Schizosaccharomyces pombe: one gene and its partner. The protein of the gene in region 1 interacts with the protein of each later gene in a pairwise test. Each region holds a gene or a part of one and is shown on either strand. Other genes may lie near its edges.

What was found.
Region 2: the proteins of atg24 (region 1) and ssr1 interact in a two-hybrid assay, tested with the Schizosaccharomyces pombe proteins (one large-scale study listed by BioGRID).

What each region holds. Positions count from the first base shown.
Region 1 is NC_003424.3:2,752,877-2,758,673, reverse strand, and holds atg24 (autophagy associated protein Atg24), read right to left. Parts: upstream 4,152-5,797; 5' UTR 3,907-4,151; coding exon 3,775-3,906; exon of another isoform or gene 3,707-3,774; coding exon 3,571-3,706; exon of another isoform or gene 3,483-3,570; coding exon 2,545-3,482; 3' UTR 2,294-2,544; downstream 1-2,293. Other genes in the region: SPOM_SPAC6F6.13C (uncharacterized protein), read left to right, coding at 1-2,176. UniProt on the Schizosaccharomyces pombe protein: Sorting nexin, involved in the separation or division of vacuoles throughout the entire life cycle of the cells.
Region 2 is NC_003424.3:3,602,639-3,609,268, reverse strand, and holds ssr1 (SWI/SNF and RSC complex subunit Ssr1), read right to left. Parts: upstream 3,488-6,630; 5' UTR 3,472-3,487; coding exon 1,888-3,471; 3' UTR 1,815-1,887; downstream 1-1,814. Other genes in the region: ghs2 (glucosidase), read left to right, coding at 1-1,440; translocation subcomplex subunit Sec62, read right to left, coding at 4,356-5,177; FYVE tethering component Pep7, read right to left, coding at 5,780-6,630.

The DNA of each region.
Region 1 (5,797 bases):
CGAACATGATGATGGCAATTGGCAACCAATGGAAGTTATATCGTTGGAACCAACCCATTTAATCAATGATATCGATGATGATAATGAAATAATAGAAGAAAAGAAAGAAACTGAAAAAGTTGAAGAGAGTGAGCTTGAACCTCGCTACACCCGAGTTTTTCGTGATGAAGACGACGATCAAAAGCATCAGTTAGACAGTGAAGCCATTAAATTATTAGACATTGCTGATCATGGCAACGAAGAAATTAGCATGGATAGTCAATTGGAAATCACTGGCAACATACTCTCTGAAACCGAGAAAATGGCATACGCTGGCGTATGTCGGCTTTTAATTTTAAAAATGGTTGATAAAATTGCATGTTTTACAACTTTGCCATGGTATCGAGGTGAATGTAAGGCCGCATTAGAAGACACCATTATGTGGGCTGACAAAACCACTTCATGCATATATGAACATCTCGGCGTCACAGTAGAGGAACAGAAGATGATAGAAAATCTTCACAAACATTCAGTCCAAATAGATGACTTGTCCAAGATTTTAGTTTCTGCCCATAGAGCTCAAACAGTCAGTAGCCTTGATGCAGTGCTTGTTGACGAAGTTGAGTCCAGCGATAGTCTAAGTAGCCTAGGGAAAGAGAAACCGGTACAAATTGATGTTCGTTGGACTGTGTTGTGTGATCTTTTTCTGGTCCTCATTTCTAAATCGCTTTACGATTGTCGGTCACGTTCTCTACTTATGGCTGTTGGCGAGGTTCTTGACATTAATGAGTTTGATGTTGCAAAGTTTGAAAAACATATTGTTGAAACAATTCAGATTGACGATACCGGCGAATTAGAAGCCGGCTCAAGTGCAAACACTGAAGCGGTCATGAAATTGCGGCGTAAAGTATCAAGGCGTAAAAAGTATATACTAATGGGCCTAGCAGGTATCGGAGGCGGCCTAGTGATCGGTCTCTCTTCTGGATTACTGGCTCCTATTATTAGTGCAGGCATTGGAGCTGCTTTCACCACTGTTGGCTTATCTGGAGTTGCTACGTCTGGTTTTTTAGCCGGGGGTGGTAGTGCTGCTTTAATTACTGCTGGCGGTGCAATTTCAGGAGCTCATATTGGTACAACTGGCATGGCTCATCGAAAAGCCGATGTTAAAACTTTTGAATTTAGACCGCTACATGCACAGAGACGAGCCAATGTCATCGTCACCGTTTCCGGTTGGATGTTAAGTAAAGAAGATGATGTCCGTCTTTCTTTTGCTACACTTGATCCTATCGTGGGTGATATTTATTCTGTTTTTTGGGAGCCCGAAATGCTTGCTTCTGCTGGTCAGACTATGAACATTTTGGCAACAGAAGTGGTTACACAGTCTCTTCAACAGGTATTGGGATCCACCGTCTTAGTTTCTCTAATGGGTGCCTTACAGTGGCCCTTGATATTAACGAAGCTAGGATATCTAATTGACAATCCGTGGAATAATTCTTTAGACCGTGCTAAGGCTACCGGTCAGCTTTTAGCCGATATGCTATGTTATCGGTCCCTTGGCGTCCGCCCAGTCACCTTAGTTGGTTATTCTTTGGGGGCTCGTGTTATTTACTATTGTTTGCGAGAATTAGAGAAAAAAAAAGAGTTTAGCATCATTGAAAATGTATATTTGTTCGGCACCCCTGTTATTTTTAAACGTACTTCTTGGCTTAAAGCTGCATCTGTCGTTTCTGGAAGGTTTGTCAATGGTTACAAAAAGAATGATTGGATCCTTGGCTATCTTTTTCGAGCCACTTCTGGTGGCATTGGGCGAGTTGCGGGTTTGCGTCAAATAGATTGTATTCCGGGGATAGAAAACATCGATGTTACTAATCTTGTCTCGGGACATTTGGCTTATAGAGAATCAATGCCAATTTTATTAGCTGCTGTTGGATTTGAAGTTCTCGATGAAGAAGTGGATTTGGTTTCAGAACCTATTCCCGAACCCTTGAGAGAACGACAATCTCAATTGTTGTATGAAATAGAAGCAGAAGAATGTCAAAATAAGCAAAAGGAGTTGATTGAAAAGTCATTAATGCAAAAAGGCCGCAGTTTGTCTCCTAAAAAATCAAATGCTTTTTTTGATAGCAAGAAAATAAGGGAGGAACTTAAGAAGGTTAAGAAAAAGTACGGATCCTCATTCAATAGTAGATGGTATTAAGATGTTTGAGTGCTATTATCGTGCAAGAATTACCATTAATATGTTTCTAATTTTTTACTATTTGCAATACCGGTTTTTTCATTTTTACGATTCTTATACCCCACTGTTTGTTTTTTCTCTAATTTATTCAATTCATTTTTTATTTTATTTCTTTTCTAATAATAATCATAATAAACTTACAAACAAATACAGACAAAAAAAGTTTCCCGATTATGAAATTGTTGATGATAAAAAAAGTAATCAGCGAAGTCATGCACAATCATTATCATTAATAAATATTTAGAAATTAAAAAAGAAAAGCAGGTCAATGATTCATTAATCGAGACATGATCAAAACAACATATGCTGTGGGGCTTGAGTAAAGTAACCTATTGCTTAACACGTATCCAAAGGTCGCGAATATTTGTAAAAAACTCTACATGAACATTAGCGTAATCGGAAATAGCACTAAGCATCTCGCTTTGACGAACGGAATCAAAAAGCTTAGATTCTTCTCGAACCCTTTGGTTGAAAGCGTCATGAACGGCAGATGCTTCTTGAATAGCTTGCTCAACTGCCTGCAATTCCGATTGTACATGTTCTAAGCGCTTTAATCTAGTATCGTTGTGATCGATACCACGCAAGTCGTCCAGAGTTTTGGATAAACTGAAACCATTAGAGCCGCCAGAAGATATTTTGTCGCGCTCTAAAGAAAGCTTTGCAGAATACTCTTGAAGTGCCTCGACATCCTGCTGTTTTTGATCGCGGCGCTTCAAGAGTTCTTTCAAGGAATGAGCGTAAGATTCAACGTCTTTAATTGTATCCAACAATAAAGTTAATTTTTCTGTAAGATTAGCATACTCTGTGCCAGTTTGTTGCAATGCATTCTGAATGGATTCAATAGGCACATCTAAAGCTTGATCCAAGGATGCCAATCGATCAAACTGAATCGAAACATCCTCATAATCAGATTCTAGAGCCTTCTCTAAACGTAAAAGCTTTTGAATGGATCCTTCCAAATTAGATATTCCAAACATAAACTGTTGCACATGGTCGCGTTGGATATCAAACTCAGTGGGTTCTTCCTTCAGCTTGGAAAACGCATTTAGCAAGGAATCCGAGATTTCGTCCAACTTCGATGTGTTATTCAATTTCGGCTGAATAAAGAATCGAACATAATTATTCCAATTTGGATTTTCTAAAAATGCAATGAAATGAGGCGATTGGTGCAGCACAGGATGAAGAGCACAACGTGTAATATAACGATTCAACAGCTTGGCTCTTCGATTTATGAAATTATCTGAAAACCGACCTCCTTTGATGTATTCTACAAAAAGTGTTAGTGACGAATCATTGAAAAGTCAAAGACATCGGAATCACTGCACTAACGAGTTTCTATTTAATTGCACGCATACCAAGTTTATGTTTAGCGGGAAGAGGAGGGACTACACAATCCTCATTCATTCGTGATAATATTTCTTGAAGCTTCACAAAATCAGAAAAACGACGACGAACCTTGCATTCCGCACGTGTGAAAATCGAAAGATTGGTCTAGTAACATAGAGTAAGCACATTTCCAAAAAATAATTCATCAGTTACTTTTCAAAAATAAGACTTACCTTAGTGATGATTAGATAAGATACATGAGTGTCTCGAGATCCCTGTAGCTCCTTTCTAGGTTCTGTAACTAAACATTGTAGAAAGTGAGTACTATTAGTTGAAGGTTCGTCCAAATTCACAGAATCAGACATGGGATGCTTAAGGATACTTCACAAGTATGATGGAATCAAATAAAAGGCTTAGTACGCCACTTCCAAAGAAGACGAATGTAAAAAATGCAATACGAAGGAAACAATACTAAATCTCAGTCGGTTTTCAGATGAATAAAATACGATTCAATCAAAAATTATTCTAGATGTTTGTAAGTGAATTTAAGTGTGAAATGACTTGAAATAATGATGTGTGTGTATGTGTGCTGGAGAGTTGTTAAGATGTTAGGTGGATTACTGGAATGTGATGGTTAGGTATGAGTACATACACATGATTGTTACTACATTAACTCAACTGGGATTTTTATGCTTCAAAAGGTTTTCCGAAAGATTTATGACAAATTTAGATTAGATTTTTAAAAAAGTTCTGTTCTTCGTACGAAACTGTTATTAGCAACAGTCTACTTTAGATTTACATGATGGTTAAAAAAATCACATTCAGAAAGTCGTCCATTTGCTGTTTCCTAAAGAATCAGCATATAATATAAATATCATTTTTAAATGAGGGTCTGATGGTAATCCAGAAAGCTTTACACATTTAAATAGTACTAGTAAGAAATGCAATTCCCTATTTCAAATTCTGTAGTCATATCGATTTTAGGCTGAAAGTTGAAAAAGAAGAGATTGCCGAACATTTCTTATGAGGAAGGATTTGTACTTTCTTTTTCGACAAAAGATGAGGTTCATATAGTTTAAAGCGTATATGTAGGATTGGGACAATTTTAATGAGCAAGCAACCATCCTTAGGCTTAATAAATTACCTTTCTACGTAAATTGTAGCCCATATCCTCAAAGTTACGAGCTTAGCAAGTCAAACTAACAATCAACCAACGTTGTTTTCCCACTGTACCTTATTTAGCATTCTTCCTAGGTATGTGAAGTACTTGAAAACAAATTGAGGAATGTTAAAATAAAGGAAAGCATACTTATTCAGGCTCTAAGCTTTACAATTAAAAGCCCTATTTTACCCCGTATATTTCAGCCGAAGATTTCTGTAAAAGTTTAAATGAGTGATTAAGTTATACAATTCCATGTATTTCGAGTCGTTGTATTCCGTATAATGCTTACATCTTGTCACTGTTGAATTTATTACTTTTTTGGATAAATTGATTCAAAAGAATGTGCTTCATAATTAGTTTTGTCGCAAAAAATTAAGTTGATTATCCTTTTTATTAAATTCCCTTAAAAGACGAAGCTACATACATATTTCTTCACATTCAATTTCATGTTTGTATGTTCCAAAATAAAATAAATCCAATATAATGGAGAAATAGTTTGCGATAACTTCTTAGCTTTGAAAGGATGATGCAAAAAGACGTAAACAAAATCGACCTTTCAGTCATTTCTAGGAAAATTAGCGCGAAATTTACGCCTTAAATTAAACAAATTTTTCTGGAATAGCTTTTAAAATAATAAAACAATTATTTGAAAGTTTTGCTCTGCTGTAGTGTTTCATAAGTGGATATCCAATAAATCCGATAAATACTCGTTTCATAAAGAGAAATTTGAAACATCTCTTTAAGTAAGCTTCACATGATTTTTCAAAGAGAAATTTAAAGGTCATGCATGAGAAACATTGAATTTCTTTTTTATGAGATAAAAAGTCGGAAAACTTTTGAGAACATACTGTTCGAGAAGACCGTTTTGAGGAAGTAAAAAAAAAGGAAAATCGTTACTTGTAGGGGTAGAAATTGTAGCTTATGCTTTTCCTTAATTTGAAGAGTATTTAGTAAGTTATTCCAATATATGTTTTAGGCAGCATTCAGAAAATAACAGTAGTCAATTTATCTCTTCTTAAAAGAATAAGTCTGTTTATATTTGTTTAAAACTCAGGTAACTATTCGTTTTTCGACAACGCTCAATATCATATATC
Region 2 (6,630 bases), 850 kb from region 1:
AAGTTAAGTTATTTCGTAGGCGGAGAAGGATTAATGCAACTCTTGTTTCTTCTCTTTTTAGCTGCTGGGACAGGTATGCTGTTTATTGGATTACCCATTCTTACATACACGGGCCATAACTCACTTGCTAGTACTCGTGTTACTGGTATTACAAATCATCAATTTCGGATTTTACGTTTATTACGTTATGGAAGCTTGATAGATCCTGATACCCCCGAAAGTGCTTATACGTTTGATTCTCAGGATTTAGGTACTCTGGATCTTGTTTTTTCTGATGAATTTAATTACCCTGGTCGTGCATTTTATGACGGCGATGACCAATTTTGGTTAGCAACTGACCTTCATTACGCTGCAACTACCGATTATGAATACTACGACGCTGATACGCCCACTACGGCAAACGGAACACTTCGTCTTCGTATGGATGCGTTTTACAATCATGATCTTAATTTCCGTAGCGGCATGGTTACCACCTGGAATAAATTATGCTTTAAGGGTGGTAGAATCGAGGTATCTGCATCCTTAGGAGGCTCCCCTTATATTCCTGGTTTTTGGCCAGGTATTTGGACTATAGGTAATTTGGTTCGTCCAGGATACCTTGCAACATCTGATGGCGTCTGGCCTTATTCTTATAATTCATGTGATGCCGGAATTACTCCTAATCAGTCGGATCCTAGTGGCATTTCATATTTGGGTGGACAACGCTTAAACCAATGTGTTTGTAAGGGTGAAGATCATCCCAATGTTGGTACAGGTCGTGGAGGACCTGAAATTGATGCCTTGGAAGGTACATTCGGCAGTGGTATTCCTTACAATGGATCTATTTACTTGGAAACCATGCCTGTCGTTTCTCAATCAGCACAATATGCTCCTTTCGACCTCTATATGTATCCCAATTACGATTTCGTTACCATCTACAATCAAAGTGTTTCAGCAATGAACGGTTGGGCCGGTGGTGTTTATCAGCAGGCTTTGTCTTGTGCTAGTCAATTAAATAATTCTTGGCTTAGCGGTAATGCTTATCAAAAGTATGGTTTTGATTATAAACCTGGAAGTGGTCCGGATGCGCTTATTTCTTGGTTTGTTGGTGATGAGTATACATGGACAATGCGTCAACCAGCTGTGGGCCAAAACGGAAACATAGCTTCTCGACCTGTTAGTGAAGAACCCATGATCGTCGTCCTTAACTTTGGTATTTCTCCTACTTGGATTTATTTTTATTGGTACGAATTAACGTTTCCTCAAACAATGTATGTGGATTATGTCAGAATTTATCAAGACTCTTCTGATTCCAGTAGCGTGCTTGGTTGTGATCCTGAAGGTTTCCCTACTACTGAATATATTGCGAACCATCCTAAAGCCTACCTAAATTATAATGCAACCAGTTGGTCAGAAGCAGGATATGTTCGCCCCAAAAACTCACTCATGGACGGATGTTGAAAAACTTCATTTTAATGTAAGGATTGCGAAATCCATATTAAGCGGCATTTTGTCTTCATTCTTTATTTCTTTTCATTTACTTTCATAGAGTTTCACATAAACCATTAGTTAGTCCCTTCTTTCTTTTCTCTCAGTTCTTTCATTTGTTGCATAATTTAACATACGACACAAAGGATTTACACAACGTTTGAGCTGACCTTACTTTCAAAATTTGATAACAACTGGTATATACTAGTACGTTAAAATTGTTGCCCTTAGAATGCTATAGCTCTCTAGTCAATCTATCAATCAGCCGAATGTTAAGAGATCAAGCTGAATAGCCCGAACTTGGGCCGCAAAAGTTGAGTAAACTAGATATGTCAAAGACATTAAGATAAGATAAAAAAAAAATTCATTTAAATAAAAGCCTAATAAATTTTTATCCGATAAGCATATTAGTTGAGATTATTAAGAAGGACTCATAGAAGAAGCTGGGATAACAGAAGTTTCAGCGGAGCTTTGAACTGGTAGACCATTTGCGGCAGTATCCTTCGATTGTAGTTGTTGCTCTATTTTTTTGCGGGCATTTTGACACTCTCGTTTCATATACAATTTTTCCCTATAAGTTGCCTGTGCAAAGGCATCTAATTCTTGGGATTTAAGACGAATGTGCTGATCAAGATAATCAAAATGAGATAACTTGGATTCAATTAGCTTAATTTGCACGTTAACAGAATCCTTTATAATAGAAGCCATTTTCTTTTCTTCATTAGTTAGATATAACTCTGATAGACTATCAGAGTCCTCCAATGATTTACCATTCATCTCGACATCATAACTTTCTGACTCTGGTTTGGGATAAACCGATTCACCTTTAACTTTATCCGACTCCTCCTCTTTTGCGCTGCTTTTCTGTGTGAAAGAAGAAGGTGGTACCATTTTGGCTAAGAAAGAGACTACGGATAAAATAGGGTTCTTCCCCTGCAAAGAATCAACCACAGGATTGGTATGCACTTTGTCCATTTTAAATAAAGCTTTGTCGGAAGAAGGAAGATTAAGGAATTTCAAAATACACTCTTCAACACTTTTTGTGTTCACATGAGAAGCAACCTTTGCCCAGTCGTCACTATACATTTCCACTCCCTCTGACAAAAGAACAAGTTCTTGTGCAGTCCATGTATCATCATCTTCAATTTTATTTTGTATTGCGACCTCCTTATAATCAGCAATTGTGGTCGGTGAAGGAAACCGATTTTGTTGGTAGCAACTTATACAAACGTTATATTTTTGGGCCGTTTGAGATTGGTAGTAACTTTCATTAAATTTATTACCGCAACAGTAACAATGCTGTGGAGAATCTGACTGATCAATGTTGTTTTCATGAAGGTTCGAAAGGCTTGGTTTTTGATTCGGAGTTGAACCCTTACCTTTTAAGACATCGTCGAGAGAGGGATCATAAATATTTGTTCGGACAATCGAAGGATCTTCAATGGTAACAGCTTTGGAACGAGGAATTGAAGAAGAGGGAGGTGGAAGAAGTGGTACCAATCCACGAGGAGTATCAGCAAGGATTTGGAAATGACTTGTGGAAGGGGGACCTATTTTCGAAGGCCGAGTATCGGGGTTAACGTTATAGTTGATTAATCCCCATTGCTCTAGAAATCTATGGACACGCAAGACAGCACATACATCACCAGCCAAATTCCTTCGGCAAGCCGTGAAAGTCAAATAAACTTTGGAGTTCAATCGAAAAGTACTAATCATAAAATCTCGGTATTCCTTATATACCTCTGGTGTTTTCGACGTATTTTTTCCATCAAAGAACTCAGGGTTTTGTTTTTTCTCAATTTCGTGAACTTTAGAGAAATCAAACCATTGCGCCCACTCAGGGACTTCTACTTGTGGTAACTGGCTCAACAAAAATTCTTTGGCCTCGTCTCTGACTTCTGGTTCAGTGTCCTCCTTTTTAGAAACATCCAATTCCATTGGCTGAGCAGAATCTGGTACCCCGTTTTCGTGTAAGTCATGTTTATTTTCAGTAACGTTGGACATTGTGGTGTTAGAGTCTAGTATAATATTTACAAAATCCTCAACGCCAAGGGCTTTAAAAGCTTCACGTCAATAAAATGCACTTAATCAACGAAAAATAATATGTATTACCCTATATGATTGAGGGATACCTTGAAAATTCAAGTTTTTTTAAAATGCCCTGCAATTAGTAGGTAGTGGGAGTTGACTTAGAATGACGATGTCTGGTTAACGAAATATACAGCAAACGCACTATACACTAAAGAATTGAGAAAATATTCAATATGGAAAGTAAAATTTATTGATATGAAGTTAAATATCATATGATATGATGACAATTTATACCATGAATATTAGTGAACTTGTAATTATAATCACTCCTATGTGATCAGCCAACTATAGTAAGAATGCACTCCTTGTGTCATGAGGAAATGCTATACTAGCTTTAAAAGGAGAAAAGCAAGCTAAGAATCTAGTAATTTCGCTCAAATGTGTTATAAATTGAGATTAAAAGAATAAGGGAATTATCAAACCACCTACCAGGAGTGGTACATAAATTAAAACGCTTCATATAAATGGGTTAAGCAAGAATTGTGTGTCAATAAGAGTAAATATTCATTGACTGACAAACTTGCCGTAATTAAAATGCGTAACAATAAGAAACACAAAAGAATTTAGTGTCCTCATTTAGTATATACTGATTATATATGTATACGTTTGGGCATAAAATGAGAACGCCAAGGTTTCTTGGAAAACACATTTAGAATCTCAAAGAACCTTTCTCCGAAAACATAGACGAAATAAATTGTATAAGGAGAATTGATAACGTAAAGATATGCACTATTTTTTTTTAAAGTAAGTAATAGTGGCTGAGTGACTGGATTCATCAACGGTACAACAATTAATTTTTATTCAGAGACTTCTTCGACGGTAGGATTTCTGTGCCTTAAATTCTTTAAAGAAGTGGTGGACGTAGAAGACTTTTCAGGAGTTGCAGAAGCAGCTGGTGAAGTGGCTTTTTTTGACAATTTCTTGGATTTCCTTGTCTTCTTTACCTCAGATTTGGAATTGTGCCAACTCCATAAAGGTTTAAAGCTATCACAGAAGCCAACGTCGGCAAGAAGATTGGGGAATAGCCAAATGCCAGGGCGCACGATGACAGCAGTAATGCAAAATAAGAAAAAACGTAAAATAACCAAAACAAAGAATAGACCGATTACTCCAAGGCCTCCCATACTTAAATACCAAGCACCCTTGCGCATAAACATTGGCCACAAGGGGAACAAAACGAGTGCCAATACGACAAGAGCGAACAGTACTGCCAAAGCCATAACGCGTTTTGGAAGAGGCTCGTAGAGCCAAACATAATGCATATCGTCTTGAAAATCTTGATTACGATTTATCTGTAATTCTACAAGCTTCTGCTTTCTTTGTTTAGGGGGGAGTTTATCAACGCGAACCAGCATCGAATTCATAATGAGCAATTTGAGAACTTCGATTGCTTCCTCACGGCTTGAAATTTCTGGAAACCCTTTGTATTTCTTAGGCGTATACGCTTCGGATGTTAAAAAGCGAAGAACACGCTTCACACGAAAGTAGTATACACGTTTTCCATTGAGGATCGCTGGCTTTGTTTTCAGCTCAGGGCGAGACTTGAGGAAGTTTGTAAAGCGCATCGAAAACTTGCACTTGTCTTCATCCTTCAAAACTGGTACATTAGAAGAATCCATAGGCAAAATCCTTGTTTGGAAAAATCTAAAATAATGTGGTTCTGGAGTAGATGAAGTCTGTACACGTCTTTAAGGTAACGATATTTAGGTCACGAGGTAAAGCCAAAATCAAAATTCAGTATTATAGATTTGGGAAAATCTATATTATAAATTTTACATTTAGTTTAATCATTGTTATTATCATGCTGTCGAATATTGATTCATTCTTTAAGTAAATTTGTAAAGTTGGATAGTTCAAAAAGTTAATTCAGTCTTAAATTTTTGTGCCTGTGCCCCATATTCATAACTTAATTATACTATAACACTTGAAAAAAATATTTGATTATTAGGGAGAGTAAAGCACTGATTAAGGAATACTAATCTTCAGAAGTTAACTCTAAAAAAGATGCTCTTCCTATTCAACTTAATTGATAACATTCATTGCTGTTCGACGAGGAAAGCAAAGTCTTCAAATTCATTTCATCAATAAATATTTATCTATACAATTATTCACTCATCCATCATATGACTAACCTTCGCAACACATTAACTAGGAAATTTTGATTACATAAAAGTGAAACAGCATCATTAAACAAGTCAAATTTCCTTTATTGAAAAAATCCTCAAATATCAAAAAGATCCAAGTCATGAATCTTTTCAGTGATTGAATGAATTTCCTCATGCAAAGGTGCAAGACTGGAGAGTAAAGTCTCTACCTCAGAAAACTTTCGTTTCGCTTTAGCATCTTCAATCATATTTTCAACGAGGAAAACTTGCTCCTCTAAAACTATTCTTGTTTGCATCAACTCTTCTTGCTTCTTTTCAACTTGCTCTTTCTTCTTTTCTAGCTCACGTTCAGACTCAGAAGTCCAAGCTTGGCCAACCTGCAAATGGTAAGGAATGGCCTGCAAACGCAATATGGTTTCTTGTAAATATCTTTTTGCTTCATTAACAACATTCTGCTTAAATTGTTCTTCAGCATCATTGGATGAGGGATGATTGGCGATTTTTTTCATAGTTCCATCATATTTCACACATAGCTCAAGAAATTTTTTTCGTCTATCTTTTACTATTTTCAGGGTCGCTTCAGTGATTATTTCACCACTTAGTAATTCAGACAAAGAATCCTCGTAAAGTCGATAGTAATTTACCATAGCCTGTCTAAAAACTTGCAAGTGTTCAATATGTCGGATGTAGCCAAGTGATTTCGATCTTTCCGTTTGATAAAGAACGTTACGGAAATAATTTTGATTGCAACTCATACAGATGAGGAGAGGTTGCGGGTGTTGAGGAAGACTAATCTCTAATACACAGAATCTGCAGATCACGCGTCCGCAAAGCCGACAATGCCGGCGTCTTCTAGTTAGAGTAAAAGAATTGTTGCATTCAGGACAAATTTGTACAACGGAATCATCTTGCCAATGAACGATGCTTTGCTCCAGCCTTTTAGCCTTGTTCAAAAGAAGCGCATCAA